2 linked regions of the Oryctolagus cuniculus genome follow. The protein of the gene in region 1 purifies or fractionates together with the protein of each later gene. This does not show direct contact. Links are inferred from orthologs where the notes say so. Each region holds a gene or a part of one and is shown on either strand. Other genes may lie near its edges.

Region 1 (7,751 bases):
GACTGGGGGTTTCACTGTGCAAGGTATAAAAACCGCTCTGAGCCTTCGTGTGCTCTGCTCCCTGCTCCTTATTCTCCGGCGTCTTCCACCACACCCGTGTCTGCTAACGCCACTCACCCACCACATGGTTCCCGTACAGCAGCTGCTCCAGGATGGAGGTCTTGCCCACAGACGCCTGGCCGCACACGACCACCTTGCAGCTCTTCCCCATGCTCGGCCTTCAGCCCTGCGGTTTGCAGAACCCTGGGTGAGGTGAGGGAAGGGAAGTTCAGAACCCAGGGCAGACCTCCCATGTCTGGGAGTCGGAGCTGCAATGAGTGGCCTCAGGGGCTTGGCACCACCCCACCGCAGCCAGGGCCCGGCGCGCTGATGCACCTGCGTGCACTACTAGCCAGTAAGCGGCATGGATGCCTCTGTTATTCTCGGTGCATAACCGGCACCGGGCCAGAGCAGGTGCTCGGCAGCCATGGCCACAAGGGGAGAAGAGAGTCACCGGTCAGGGGAAGCACAGGCAGGGGAGAGGACGGGCCCTGAAGGAGCTCCGCCAGCTTCCTGTCTGCCAGAGACCTGGGAGGAACAGGCTGCAGCACCTGCTCCTTGGGCAGTGAGCAAACACGGAAGCTGACTGGCCTTCCTGTATGACGCACGTGGACAACGCTCAATCCCCTCTAACCTCCAGGGAAGCTCATGGCCAGGATGAGGCACATCAGACAAGACACGGAGCCGGGAAGCACAGGCATTTAGCAGTCATTAAGACACCACTTGGGGGTGTCTTGTGCTACAGCGGGATAGGCCACTGGCTGCAAAGCCAGCATCCCACATGAGCCCCAGTTCAAATCCCAGCTGCTCCACTGCACCCAAAGACAAGTGCTTGGGCCCCTGCCGCCCACGTGGGAGACCTGGATGGAGTCTCAGGCTCCTGGCTTCATCCTGGCCCAGCTCCAGCCATTACAGCCATCTGGGGAGTGAACCACTGGGTGGGAGAGCTCTTTCAAGTAAATAAAATTTTTTTTAAAAATTTATTTTATTTACTTGAAAGAGTTATAAAGAGAGGTAGAGCCAGAGAGAGAGGTCTTCCATCCTCTGGTTCACTACCAAATGGCCACAACAGCCAGGGCTGAGCTGATCCAAAGCCAGAAGCCAGGAGCTTCTTCTGGGTCTCTCACACAGGTGCAGGGGCCCAAGGACTTGGGCCATCCTCCACTGCTTTCCCAGGCCACAGCAGAGAGCTGGATTGGAGCAGGAGCAGCGGGGACTTGAACCCACGCCCATATGGAATGCCCACACTGCAGAACAGGGCTCTAACCCACTGTGCCAGTACTGGCCCCCTCAAATAAATAAAAATCTTAAAAAAAAAATTCAGTAAAAAGAAGCCATCACTTGGGACACCCGCAACTCCTATCTGAGTGCCTGGTTGGAGTCCTGCTTCCACTCCAAATTCTAGCTTCCTGCTAACGCACACGGTGGAAGGCAGGTGATGGCTGAGGTACTCGCGTCCCTGCCACCCACATGGGAGACCTGGATGGAGTCCCAGGCTCCTGTGGGCATTTGGGGAACCAATTAGTGGAGGGGAGATTTCTGTTGAGTCTCCCTACCTTTCAAATAAATAACACATAGTTTTAAAAACAGACATAAGACTGAAGCAATCTACGGAGAAAAGGCTTCGGGAAGGAGATTCACTGTGCTGCCCTTGACTGACCCACCATTCACTGTGCTGCCCTGGACTGACCGACCCAAAGGGAAGGCCCAGACCTAGAGGCCCCGGGAGGACAAGAGCTCTCGGCTCCAAAATGCCCCACCCCCCGACCTCGGAGAGCAAAGATCACTCCCAGACAGGGTCTCAAACAGGATTCTCTGTAGGAGAAGCTCCTGATAAAGACCCCCTTCCCGGCAGATTTCCCTAGGACAGAGGCCAGCACAGGCAGACACCTGCCACCAAGAGCGCCGCGGGGCGGAGGCCAACCCCGGCGTCGGACGACCCCGCCTCCCAGCCCCGTCCCTCCCGGGCCCCCAGCCCCCGCGCGCAGATCCCCGGCCGGGTCCCCGAGAGCGCCCAGAGCCCAGCCGAGGGGCGGCAGCAGGGCCGCAGGCTGTCCCCTCTACCTCGGGGCAAGACGTCCGCTCCGTTGGGCCCCGCCCCCGCAGCTTCCGCCCGGCGAGGCGAGTTCCGGCGGCGGCGAACGGGCGGCGGCCCACAGCGCCCCCGACAGGCCGGCGGGAGGATGGCGGCCAGACAGAGCCTGGCCTGCCTCCGCGCCAGATTCCAAGGTCCTGGGGCTTGTTGGACGCGGGCCGCCGTGTGGCATCTCTGAGGCCCACACGTTCTCGCTCTAAAGGCTGCCACAGCACAGCCAGCGCTCCGACCACTCCTTCGCTCGTCAGGCGTCTCCTGAGCACCTGCGCTGGCCCACGTGCTGGACAGAGCAGACGCGTTTCGCTGTCCAGAGCTAGCCGTCTAAATAAACCAGCAGGCAGAGTGCGGCATGGTGGGTGCTGTCGCAGAGGTGCCACGGGGCACAGCCAAAGGCGTCGGCCGTGAGGACTTTGCGGAGGAGGTCCCGCCCGTGTGGATCCTTGAGGGACCTGGCGGGAGAGGGTGTTGTGGGGCCTCGGAGCCGCAGCCGGAGCCGTGCCATTTCCTTAAGTACAGGTGCTTCGACACTGATCGTGGGAAGAAGCCAAGTCACCGGACGCCTTAGCGGTTGGTGGAAGACTGAACTCAGCAGTGGGAAGCCTTTGGTAGGTTTTATGCCCCTGGACTGACATGGTCTGTTTTTTTCTGTTTCTAAGGAGGCCATTCTGGGAGCAGGTTTAGCCCAGTGGTGAAAAAAGCTAGCATCCCTTATCTGAGTGCCTGGGTTCGAGTCCCGGTCCCAGCTGCTGAGCCCTGCTTCGGGTGCAGACCCTGGGAGGCAGCAGTGATGACTCAAGTAATTAAGCTCCTGCCACCCACGTGGGAGACCCGGATTGAGTTCCCGGCTCCTGGCTTCAGTCACACCTGTTGTGGGCATTGGGCGTGACCCAGCGGATGGGAAGTCTGTCTCTCAAAAATAAATAGAAAAATCCATGAGGATTTGTGAAACACCCAAGAAATACCCAGCAGATGGTTGGGTATCCAGGCCTGGAACCCGGAAGACTGGGGCAGTGATGACAGGAGTTGAGAGTCGTCAACTCAAAGCTGTGGGAACGACTGATTTGGCTCAGAACATAAAGTAGGAAGAGGGTCAAAGACAGGTGGGCTTCTTCTTTTTTTTTTTTTTTTTAATTTGACAGAGTTAGACAGTGAGAGAGACAGAGAGAAAGGTCTTCCATTTGTTCACCCCCAAATGGATGCCATGGCCCGTGCACTGCGCCAATCCGAGGCCAGGAGCCAGGTGCCACCTCCTGGTCTCCCATGCGGGTGCAGGGCCCAAGCACTTGGGCACTTGGGCCATCCTCCACTGCACTCCCGGGCCACAGCAGAGAGGAGCAATCGGGACTAGAACTCGGGGTGCCGGCGCCTCAGGCGGAGGTTTAGCCTAGTGAGCCGCAGCGCCGGCCAGAGGGGTGGGCTTCTGAACTGGACTGTGGACCGAGCCACCAGGGCAGGTGTGGAGCAGGTCTCGGGGTCCCCAGCGCTGCACAGCGCGGGCATTGAGGAAAGAGCCACTGGATGGTTAGCTAGGTGGACGCCGCTCCCCTCCCAGCCACCGGGCCTCTCCAGCCCCCTCAGCACTGCGGTGGGCAGGATACCATGCCGAAAGGGACTGTGGCGCATGCTGGTTTCCTGGAGGGAGGGGACAGATTCGCCCTAAGTTCCTCTGCCTCTCTCTTATCTTAGGTCCTCTGCGCCTTCAAGTATAGCCTCAGAAAGCCCCCATTTAATGCAGCTCCAACAATGCTCGTATCCCTTGCTCTGCCGTCCCCAGCGCAGACTGCACTGGGCCGGACCGGCGTGCCGAGCAGCGTTTATGAGATGGGGGCATGGGGCCACGGAGACCCCACCCCATGAGCGGCCTTATAAACTCCAGGGCAGGGTCCCGGGCGCCTCGCCATGCCAGCCTCCCTGGGCTTAATGCTGAGATGGCACTCCCAGGCGGCTGACTTGAAAGCGGCCTCATAAAAAGGGCAGCGTCATTAGGCTGATGAACCAGTTGGTGCTTGGAGATCCCGGGGGATGAAAGGCGCGGGGTGCAGACGCCCTGCGTTCCCTGGCTTGGTTGGGCAGGGCTTCCCGGGACCGATGAAAGCTGAGCAGACCGGGCTCGAAGTGTCTCGCCTTTCCCGGGAGGAAGCGGTGGACACACTCCAAGAGTGGGAAGGCAGCAGTGGGAGGTCCTCCCTCCCAGAGTCTGGGTAACCCGGTCCCCACGCACCCCAGTCTCTCTGGAGCCTCCCGGGAGACGCTCTAGGACTGCAGGTTGCTATGGCAACGAGGCTGTCGGACTACTGAGGCACGCCAAAGCCTAGAGAGACGACATCCTCCTTGTAACCACCCCCTTCCTACAGACGGGTAAAGTGGCGCCCCCTACGCACAGGAACCGTCCCTGGGCTCCCGCCCCGGCGCGGAGACCACCGTGGACCTCCGGGAGCGGGAGGCCGCTCTGGCCCCAAGCGGAGCCTCTCGTTGGTAGACGGGCCCGAGGGAGCCCCTCTGGGTGCAGCGCCGCTGAGCGGCTCGATGCTCCGACCGGAAGTGCTCTTCACCGCCTGCCTCCCACCCGGCTCTCTGGTCCCGGCGGTAAGATGGCGGCTGCCGCGGAGTGCGATGTGGTAATGGCGGCGACCGAGCCAGAGCTGCTGGACGACGAGGAAGCGAAGAGGTAACCGGGTGGCGAGGTCACGGAGGGGGCGAGCCTCGGCCCTGTGGCTCGCGGAAGCCTGTCCCTGCCGGGATGCAGCCCCCAGCTGTTGAGACAATGCCCCGCCCTCCGCGAGCCCCCCCTGCACCTGGGATCAAGTCCCGGTGGACCCCCTGAAGGGTGCTCCCGGGGTCGGCCTCCCCCCCACCGCTTCCGCCTGGCGGGGGAGCCGAGACGCGGCCTGGATCCTCCACTTAGAGGAGAATAAAGCCCTGATTGTGGCGGCTGGGTGTCTGAGGGGCACCGCGTCGGTCTGAGGGGTGGGGGAGGCGGCGCGGCGTCGGCGACGACTTCCTTACTTCGCCCTCGACCCCTGCCTCCTCGGGCCGGCCCGTGGGCATTGTCTGTCTGCGCTTTGCGTCTCCTCACCCGCTTGCCCCCGGTAATTAGAGCCTGGTGAACACGGGGTCCCAGGCGGACGTGGGAGTGCGGGATTGAGCGGGTCGACCCCTGGTTTCCTCAGAAGGCGGACATGCTAGAGCCAGAAGGAAGGGGGGTGGGGGGCTTGTGTCCCGTGTCAGACCCCTCTTCCCCCACCCTTCCTGGCCGAGGTGCTCACTCAAAGTTCGGCGGCAAGGAGGGGGCCGCTGCCCGGCGCCGTTGGCATTGCTGGGCAGCCGCAGTGGCTGGCAGCTGCCAGCCCCGACTGGCCGGGGAGCTGCTGAGTGAGTGGTTTTCCAGAACACTCGGGATCCCGGCCGCAGCTAAGGCAGCGTGCTGGAAGTGGGGTTGGGACGCAGTTGTGGGCAGTCACACGTGTTCTGACCCTACAGCAGAGTCGACGAAAAAGCTTCTGGAAGCTCGGGGGCCTCTCCTCACCCGCTGCCGGGCGGCCACCGGGCGCTCAGCCCCTTTCACCGCCCGCCAGGTGCTTTGACGTGGTTTGGGGTTATTTCATGAGATCTGAAATCAGGCTTCTGAGGTTTGTTTCTACCGTCCAGCAAGTGAGAAACGGAGGAGTTACGAGTTCCCGGATCTCGCAGAGCTCAAGCCCGAGAGCAGTCCGCCGGTCGTAGTCCGGTTTCTGACCTGCCGGAAGCCGAAGGGCCTGACAGCGTGCAGTGGCTTCCAGGGGTAGCAGAAAAGGCAGCGAATCTCAGTCCAAAATCTGAGTTTTCGTGGCGCTACCTGCTTTTCTGGTATTTAGCGATACAACAGACCTCTCCCAGCTCTCAAATTAACTGTAAGAAACTGCTTTACTTGTACTTGGAAAGTTTAGTGGTTCTTTGCGTTGTAAATCGGAACTGTGTCCTGGAAAAACCTCATCCTACGCAGGGTGAGTCTCTGGTGTTCGGAGTGTCCCTAATCTGGGTTTTGCTTTAAAGCCGGTCCTTTCCCTTTAAAAGAGCGCAGCCTTGGGAGCAGGCGTCTAGCCCGGCAGTTGAGACACCTGCAGCCCTTCTTGGAGTGCCTGAGTGTGCGCCCAGCCCGGCTCCAGCCCTCAGCTTCCGGCTAGTGCAGACCCTGGGAATCAGGTGGTGATGGTTCGGGAAGGGAGTTCTGCCACCCACGGAGGAGACCTAAATTGAGCTCCTGGTTCCCTGCCAGGAGTGAACGAGCTGATAGGACCTTTCTTCTCTGTGTCTTTATCTCCGCCTCTCAGGAAAAAAAAAAGAAAAAGAAAAATCACAGTCTTAGAGCTTAGAGTATGACCCATTATAGAATTTTGGTAAGCCAAATTGAAGATTATACCTGTACAAAAGAGGTAAAACTGTAGTGTGAATGTGTTGTACAGTTTATGGGGTTTGGTAGCAGTATACCTAAATCAGTGTTGACATCTGTTAAGTGCCTTATTTCATGAATTTAAGATGTCACTGATTGTAAAACGCCCAGCTATTTTATTTGCCGCTAACAAAAATTCAACTGTAAACTATGAAAATGCATTTTTACTATATTTGTATGCTACATTTATTTCTATAGAGCTCTTTTAGATATGATAAAACATGTTTATTGTGTAGCACTTCCAAGCACAAATAAAAAGGAAACTAAGTGAATTAAATAATTCAGTGGCTTTCTGCCACAAACAGCATCTGCAGAAGGGATTTTGTGGGGGCTGGTGCAGTGGTGCCGAGGGTTAAAGCTCTGCCTGCAATGCTGGCGTCCCATATGGGCACTGGTTCGAGTCCCAGCTGTTCTACTTCCAGTCCAGCTCCCTGCTGATTGCCTGGGAAGGCAGTGGAGAATAGCCCAAGTCCTTGGGCCCCTGCACTCACGGGGAAGACCCAGAAGAAGCTCCTGGCTTCGAATGGGCCTGCCTCCTGCTGTTGGGGACATTTGGGGAGTGAACCAACGGATGGAAGATCTCTCTCTATGTCTCTCTCTTTCTCTGTAACTCTGTCTTCCAAATAAATTTTTAAAAATCTTTTTTTTTTTTTTTAAAGAAGGAGTCTTGTGGTGTGAAAAATCCTTGTCTCAGTTTTCCAGTGCTGGAGATGGGGTGGAGGTTAGCTCTGCAGGGTCTGGGGTCACGGGTTTGGTGTTTCCTGTGGCCACAGCAGAGGCAGGCATGGGAACATCCCTCCCAGAGGCCTTTCCTTCTGGCTTGGTGAGAGTTATTTGACCAAGTTCCTGTCTGTCTTGTTGGGGCCTCCTAAGCAGTTCCCTTGGGGACACGAGAATCGATGGTCCTGAGTCCTTCCTTTCTCCCCTCTGGGCTCGAGTGCATCCTGCTGCTGCCGCTGCGTCCTCACGGCCCCGCAGAAGGCAGTAGAGGAGCTTCCAGCACACTGGGTGTCATTGTCGCCATGTTTTAGATGGCTGCTGTTCTGTTTCCTAGAGAGAAAAGAAATATATTTCAATTTTTTTGCCTGTTATTCTGACTGAAGTTTCGTTTTCCCCATAGGAGCTAAGAAATGAAAGTAAAAGTTAGTTGACACTGCAGAAGAAATCCGGGTTCTTGCATGAAGATTG
Region 2 (7,602 bases), on another chromosome or scaffold:
CTAATTTTGACTTTTGTTGTAGCAGAAGTATTTCACTCATCTGTGTTTATTACTCAGTCCCTCATTGTAGTTTAATTTTTAACTGCCTTTGTTAGCCTTCCTGTTCTTAAACTGGAATGAAGGGAAGAACTTTAAGCATGAGAATGTTCATATTTTCTTCAGATAACCTGTGCATGCAAATTGTTTCTGGCATAGTGCCAGAAAGTGTACTGGGGTGCTACTGGTGTTTCTTGACACTATAGCTTGTTTCAAATTGGGATTGGGAATTTCTGACTTCTTAATGAAATAAGATTTGAGGCATTATTGTATGCATCTAATACCAATCTCTCAATACATGCTAATAGTGGAAAATACTGAAATTCAAAAACTATATTATAGTAACAGCACTGTACTTTTTTTTCTTTAAAGATTTCTATATTTATTTGAAAGGCAGAGTGACAGAAGGAGAAGCAGACATCTGCCATCTGCTGGTTCACTCCCCAAATGGCTGCAAACAGACAAGTCTGGACCAGGCGGAAGCCAAGAACTCCATCCTGGTCTGCTCTGTGGGCGGAAGAGACCCCAGCACTTGGGCCATCATCTGCTGCCTTCCTAAACTCATTAGCAGGGAGCTGGATTGGAAGTGGGGCAGTCAGGACTGGAAGCAGCACTGATACAGATGCCAGCCAGCATCCTAAGCTTAATCCACTGTACCACAATGCTGTCCCCTGTACTAAAAATTTTTAGCTTACTTTTCTGAGGGATGTTTTATTCTGCCATTATTCAGAGTGATATTTCTGAGAAATAGTAGCCCAGCTGTGATTAAATGTAATTACTGAAAGAGAAAATATGACAGTGCTCGGGGAAGCAATGAACAGTTGCTGTGTGCTTTAGGGTAAGTCATTTAACACTCCTGAGCTTAAGTTTTCTATAGAGTGTGGACAATACCACCTGCATTACTTACCTCACAGGTCTTTTTGTGATCTGTGTAATATGCCTGCGTTGGCATATTGGTAAGATTATTGCTCATGAGGTGGAACTGAAAGATAAAATTCAGGTTAAGTATTCCTAATACAAAATGCTCTGAAATCTGAAACCTTTTGAGTGCCAACATGACAGTCAAAAGACCTTTAGATTAGGTCTTGCAGCATTTCAGTTTTTTGTTAGAGAACTTTGGTGAAGTCTATGTAATTATTTCACTACCCCCCAAATGCCAAAATCTGAAACACTTCTGGTCCCAACCAGTTTTGGATAAAGGATACTCAGCCTGTAAAACGAAATGAGGCATATAAAAAGCACATTTATATATTTATGCTTTCAATTATCACACAGGCATTAATAGAGCTTATGTCTCCCACTAGATGATGCCATCCCACTGCCCAGACCAGGCTATGAGGCCTGTACCATCTCCTGCATGGTTATGGTATTGTTACTCACACATCCTTGCATTGGTTTTCCTTAAGCTTTTTTTTTTTTTTTTCCTGAAGCTTTTACACATGCCTTATTGCGACCAGAAGAGTTTCTTTACACTTGCCTCTGTGCAGAGAAAGTGTGAATGTAAAAGGCTGGGAGATTGCTAGGGAGTATCAGTAGAAATAACTTGGGGACACATTCAAGAGGGAATTCTGAACACTGGCAAGTTCCAGTATTTTTTAAATTTATTTACTTGAAAGTCAGAGTTACACAGAGAGAAGAAGTAGAGAGAGAGAGAGAGAGAGAGAGAAAGAGAGAGAGAGAGAGAGAGAGAGAGAGAGAGAGAGAGAGAAATCCTCCATCCACTGGTTCATTCCCCAGTTTGCTGAAATGGCCAGAGCTGTGCTGATTAGAAGTCAGGAGCCAGGAGCTTCTTCAGGGTCTTCCACGCATGTGTAGGGGCCCAAGGACTTGGACCATCTTCCACTGCTTTCCCAGGCCACAGCGGAGAGCTGGACTGGAAGAGGAACACCTGGGACCCAGTATGTTCTTGAGCAGGTGACTAAGTTGAGGTCAGGTGTGCTTTGGGAAACTAATTCTGATGTCAGCATGAACAAGGCAAATCTGGAGACTGGGAGAACCATCAGGGTGACTGCATGGTATAGGGAAGATATGAGAATTGGAAAAACAGAATAGATAGGTATGGCAGTCAATGCGTTGTGTGTCAAAGTGTCCCCTAACTGGGCGGTGCTGTGGTGTAGTGGTGAAGCCACTGCCTGCAGTGCTGGCATCCCATATGGGTACCGGTTGCAGACCCAGCTGCTCCACTTACAATCTGCTGTGGCCTGGGAAAGCAGTAGAAGACGGCCCTAGTGCTTGGGCCCCTGCATCCATATGGGAGACCCAGAATAAGCTCCTGGATCCTGATTGGTGCAGCTCTTGTTGCTGCCAAGTGGGGAGTGAACCAGCAGATGGAAGATATCTCTCTCTCTCTCTCTCCTCTTTCTGTGCAACTCTTTCGGATAAATAAATCTTTAAAAAAAAAAAAAAGTGCCTCCTAGGTATTTGTGTTAGTGGAAAAACAAATAGTTAAGGATTTCCCCCCCACTGTGGCAGGAGTGAAAGAGGAGGTGGATATTTATAAACCTGTTAATACTCTGGTTCCTTCTTTATTGTGTTTTTCCATCTCCAACACTTTCAGGAAATGTTCTATTTGATCCTGTAGAAGCCGATTTAAACAACAATACAGCCTTTCTCTTTCAGATCTACCCTAGCAAAGCATTTAATAAATCCTGTGTCTATGTTCAGCATTTCTTAGTTTCTGTTTACTGTCGCTCCACAGTTTTTTTGAAACAAATTTTAGAAAAAAATTTCCAGGGGGTGGTTGCATTTCACCACAGTTCCAGGACTTTGCGGGTACACGAGCTGCGCTTTGAATGGCTCGCCGGCCCAGGGACAGTTCCATGCCAGCATAGAAGAAAGTGACATAAATAACGGCTAACCCGCACTCACAGGGGAGAAGGAAAAAAAAAAAAAAAAAAAAAAAAGGGAAGTGCTCTGGTCTGCGAAGTAGCAGCTCTGGAAAGGGCTGAATCCGCAACTACCCCTGAGCAGTCCCCAAACGGTCTTCCATCTGGATGCGGCTCCGCTCCGCCTCCTCACCCCTTAGTAAGGTGTGTGTTCCAGAAGCCGAAGGCCGCGGAGACCTTGCCGCAGGCGGAGGGCAAAGTCGCAGGACAGGAAGCCGGGGTCTCCTTTAGTTTGCTTAGGAGACGCCCAGCGTGGGCAGCCGCGCACGCCGGCTCCGGGCAAGGCTCCCGGGGTGGCCTTCGCTCCGGCAGGGCAGTGACCTCCTCTGGCCCTAGGTCAGCAGTAGGTGACCGAGGGCTCGCAGAGCGGCCCCGTAGATGTCCAGGCGCCTAGGAACGCCTGCGCGCCCTTTTCCTTCCCGAATGTTCTCTGTGTCCTATAGGCCGCCCGGGAACAGCTGCTAAAGCGGGCCCTTAAACCAGCTTCCCCGGGGGCTCCAGCTGGCGGGGCCTGCTGCACCCCCGAGGCCGCGGCGCCCGGCCGGGGCCCACGCACTTCTGGCGCGCCGGCGGCGGCGGCGGCGGCGGCGGCAACGCGCCTGCGCACATTCGGGGTCACGCGCGCGGCGCGGGGGCGGGCTGGCGCCGGAGGGGCTGTCATTCGCGGCTCGGGTCGCCGCCCTTCGCTGCGCCCAGTGGGTTCCGGCTCCTCCTCCTCCCTCCGCCTCAGCCCCACCATGGTGCTGGAGTCGGTGGTCGCGGACCTGCTGAACCGTTTCCTGGGGGACTACGTGGAGAACCTGAACAAGTCGCAGCTGAAGCTGGGGATCTGGGGCGGTGAGTTGAGAGGGGCGCGGCCGGCGGCCGCGGAGGGGCCCACGCCGAGGGCTGCAGCGGGGGTCCGGTGCTCTCCACCCGCCGGGGACTCCAGCTCCGGAGCGTGTCAGGTGCGGGGCGCGGGGCGCGGGGCGCCTCTGTCCGCTTGTGTCTCCCGCAGCTTCCCGGGACTCCCAGGTCGCGGGGAGATGCTGCGGGGTCACGCCCGCGCTGTCCAGATTCCCACCTTCCCTGTCCCTCCGGTCCTGGGGTCCGTGCCTCTGCCTTGCTCTGCCCTGCCCACCTCGGGGGTCCTCCCGTTGCGTTCTGCCCGGCCCCTTTAGCGCCACAGCCTTACCAAAAAAAACCAACACCAAAAAAACCAAAAACCATTTCTGCGTGCGTCTCGGTGGAGTGACCACAGCTTCGTGACCATGGCCCAATAAAGTGGCACCCAGGAAGAAGAAGAGGAAGGTTGCCTCCCTGTTGTCTTCTTGGTAACAGGCACTGCAGGGTTTGAGAGGGGAGAGACGGGAAGAGCCTTCAGAAAGGCGTGCCCGTAGGGATTCCTACTGTTAATGCTTTTAGCTTTTGAAGAAGTCATTTCTTAATACTTTTCTCTTAACGTGAAGAGGCTTTCAGTTTTGTTTTGGAAGGATAGAAATTCAAGCCGTGACCAGCATCATCGTTAATTAGGTGCCTGCTTGGTTGCATGCCCAGGAATTCGTGCCAACGTTTTTTATCCTGGAGATTAAGTGGGGAAAGCTAGACAGTCAGTAGTATGTTTGCTTATCCTGCAAAGAGCTAAATTAGTTGCTTGAATTAACGTGTTAAGGTTTGGGGATATTGGATACTTTCTCACTCTAAAAAAGTTTGGCGGATTTTGTCACCTTTGGAGAGAAACCAAAACAACTGTTTAAATGAATGAAACTGCCTTTAATTGATCAAGCAGTAGTTACATACCTGTGCTGTTCATTAGCGGCCACTAACCACTGTAGCTAGTGAGCACTTGCAGTGTGTGGATCTTTTGAATTGCGATATTCTACAAGCATAAAAAGCACAACGCTTTTGAATACGTTTATTTCTTTTAATGAAATGGGGGAAGTGTAATATTAATAACTTTTGTTGCGATGAGAATATTTGTATTGGGTTAAGTTAAATGTATTATTGAAACCCATTTGCCCTCTTTCTACTGTTTTTTTGGTGTGACTCTTAAACTTTGTAATTATAAAATTTGTAATTATACGCGTGGAGCATGTTTATGTTGAGCCGTACTGTAACAGAACCGTGAATGCTGCCAGGAACTGTGGAGAGGACCCAGGTCCCTGATCATATGATTGGTTCACGGTGGTTTGTCCAACAATGCATAACTTTGTTTACTCTTTCCTCCCACCACTAAATACAATGCAAAAGGAAGGGAAGTGAAGACAGACCTTTACAAATTAAATATCCAGTACCTTTTGGGGAGATCAAGGGTTTCTTTGGAATATTGGCAATGTTACCACATATTCCTTGTGGTCAGTAAATGTATTGAAATATGTGAAAGCCAAGGGTTACCAAATCTGCAATCTGAGAAAGCATTGGGTTTTGGACCTGGTAGGTTGCTGTGTTGGACAAATCATTTACTTTACTCACCTTAGTTTCTTCCTCTTAGTTTATGCTTCGTTAGTTTATTTCCCAGCAGATACTTGGCAAAGTCAGATATTTCTTGCTTGTCACATTGAGAGATGTGTGCTGCTGGTACGTACTGGATAGAGCTAGTGACACCACACTGTAAACGTCCTCGTATGCAGACAGCAGCTCTTTGCAGCAAAGAATTGTTCAGCCTTAAGTGTTAGTTGAGAAACCCTGCTCTAAGGAGAATACTCTTCTGCTTTAAGAGGGGGCCTTCTGGGTGTTGAACCAACTATCATAAGGAGTAAATAAAGGACTTAGGGAGTATGTTGCTCTTATGAAATGTATAACTTGAGAGAGAGAAGTCTTTTTTTTTTTTAAAGATTTATTTATTTATTTATTTGACAGAGTTACAGACAGTGAGAGAGAGAAAAAGAGAGAGAGAGAGAAAGGTCTTCCTTCTGCTGGTTCACCCCCACAAATGGCTGCTACTGCCGGTGCTGTGCCTATCTGAAGCCAGGAGCCAGGTGCTTCCTCTTGGTCTCCCATGCGGGTGCAGGGGCCCAAGCACTTGGGCCATCCTCCACTGCACTCCTGGGCCACAGCAGAGAGCTGGAGTGGAAGAGGAACAACCAGGACTAGAACCTGGCGTCCATATGGGATGCCAGCGCCACAGGTGGAGGATTAACCAAGTGAGCCACAGTGCCGGGCCCAAGAGAGAAGTCTTAGGAAGTGACTGAAAGTTATCAAGTTGGTAAGAATGCATGATCTTTGGGTAATCTCAGGAAGTTGCTTACCATTCAGAATACTGTAACATGATTTGAAAAATGCACACATTCATACATGTATAGGCACTGGCAATGAAATCTGCAATAGGCAAAAATTATTCAAATGGCAAGAATCAGAAATGTTGCCTTTATTTAATTGTATTTTTAAAATGTTTTATTTAGAGGTTGGCACTATGGCATAGCAGGTAAAGCTGCCGCCTGCAGTGCCAGCATCTCATGTGGGTGCCGGTTTGAGTCCCGACTGCTCCACTTCTGATCCGGCTCTCTGCTGTGGCCTGGGAAAGCAGTAGAAGGTGGCACAAGTCCTTGGGCCGCTTCACCCACGCAGAAGAAGCTCCTGGCTCCTGGCTTCAGATCAGCCCAACTCTGGCCATTGCAGCCATCTCGGGAGTGAACCAGTGGATGGAAGACTTCTCTCTTTCTTTCTGCCTCTGCCTCTGTGTAACTGTCTTTCAAATAAATAAATAAATCTAAAAAAAATTTAAATGTTTTATTTATTTATTTGAAAGGCAGAGTGATGACTGTGTGGAGGGAGGGAGAAGGAGAAAGGAAGGGAGAGAGAGCAACAGGGAGAGATCTTCCCAATTGCTGGTTTGCTCCCCAAATCCCCGTAATGGCTTGGGCTGTGCCAGGCTGAAGCCAGGAACCCTGAACTCCAGCTTGGTCTCCTGTCTGGGTGGCAGGGATCTAAGTGCTTGGATATCACCTGCTGCCTCTCAGGGCGTGCATTTGCAGGAAGCAGAGCAGGGACTCCAACCTAGGCACTCTAATACGGGACATTTGCCTGCCACGCAGTGTCTTAACTGCTGTTCCCAACACCCACCCCCCAGATAGTGCCTTTAAGTTGGAGCTGAGAAAAACAAACAAAACAGCTGCCATCTTTTTTCCTGTTTCTACTTTTTTTTTTCTTTTAAAGATTTATTTATTTATTTGAAAGGCAGAGTTACAGAGAGGCAGAGGCACAGAGAGAGAGAGATCTTCCATCCACAGGTTTACTCGCCAAATGGCTGCAACGGCCGGAGCTGCACTGATCCGAAGCCAGGAGTCAGGAGCTTCTTCTGGGTCTCCCACACCGGTGCAGGAGCCCAAGGACTTGGGCCGTTTTCTTCTGCTTTCCCAGACCATAGCAGAGAGCGGGATTGGAAGTGGAGCAGCTGGGACCTGAACCGGTGCCCATTTGGGATGCTGGTGTTACAGGCGGCTGCTTTACCCACTATGCCACAGCGCCAGCCCCAAAATATTTTAATTCTTTAAGTCTCCATCTCCTAATATGCAGAAAGGATGTGTAACATGGTATTTATGATTTAAATGATATGAAAATTCTTTATATTTGTTAATAATGCAGTACTGATGATAAACCTTGCAAAATGATGGAAAAAAAGCCTATTTTGTTTTATTTTGCTTTCATAAGTATGCTTCTTCTACCTTCAGCCTTTGGGAGTTTTATATCGTATATAGAGTGA

Evidence for each region. Proteins that work in one complex are often made in the same cells at the same time.
Region 2: the proteins of DNAJC7 (region 1) and VPS13C purify together in Homo sapiens (co-immunoprecipitation; 4 studies listed by BioGRID and IntAct, counting the BioPlex papers as one, with this or other methods). This does not show direct contact. The link is inferred for Oryctolagus cuniculus from reciprocal best matches to the Homo sapiens genes DNAJC7 and VPS13C.

What each region holds. Positions count from the first base shown.
Region 1 is NC_091448.1:20,737,010-20,744,760, forward strand, and holds the start of DNAJC7 (dnaJ homolog subfamily C member 7), read left to right. Parts: upstream 1-3,246; 5' UTR 3,247-4,725; coding exon 4,726-4,802; intron 4,803-7,751. Other genes in the region: NKIRAS2 (NF-kappa-B inhibitor-interacting Ras-like protein 2), read right to left, coding at 118-211. UniProt on the Homo sapiens protein: Acts as a co-chaperone regulating the molecular chaperones HSP70 and HSP90 in folding of steroid receptors, such as the glucocorticoid receptor and the progesterone receptor.
Region 2 is NC_091443.1:85,081,844-85,089,445, reverse strand, and holds the start of VPS13C (intermembrane lipid transfer protein VPS13C), read left to right. Parts: upstream 1-3,529; 5' UTR 3,530-3,658; coding exon 3,659-3,758; intron 3,759-7,602. UniProt on the Homo sapiens protein: Mediates the transfer of lipids between membranes at organelle contact sites. Necessary for proper mitochondrial function and maintenance of mitochondrial transmembrane potential.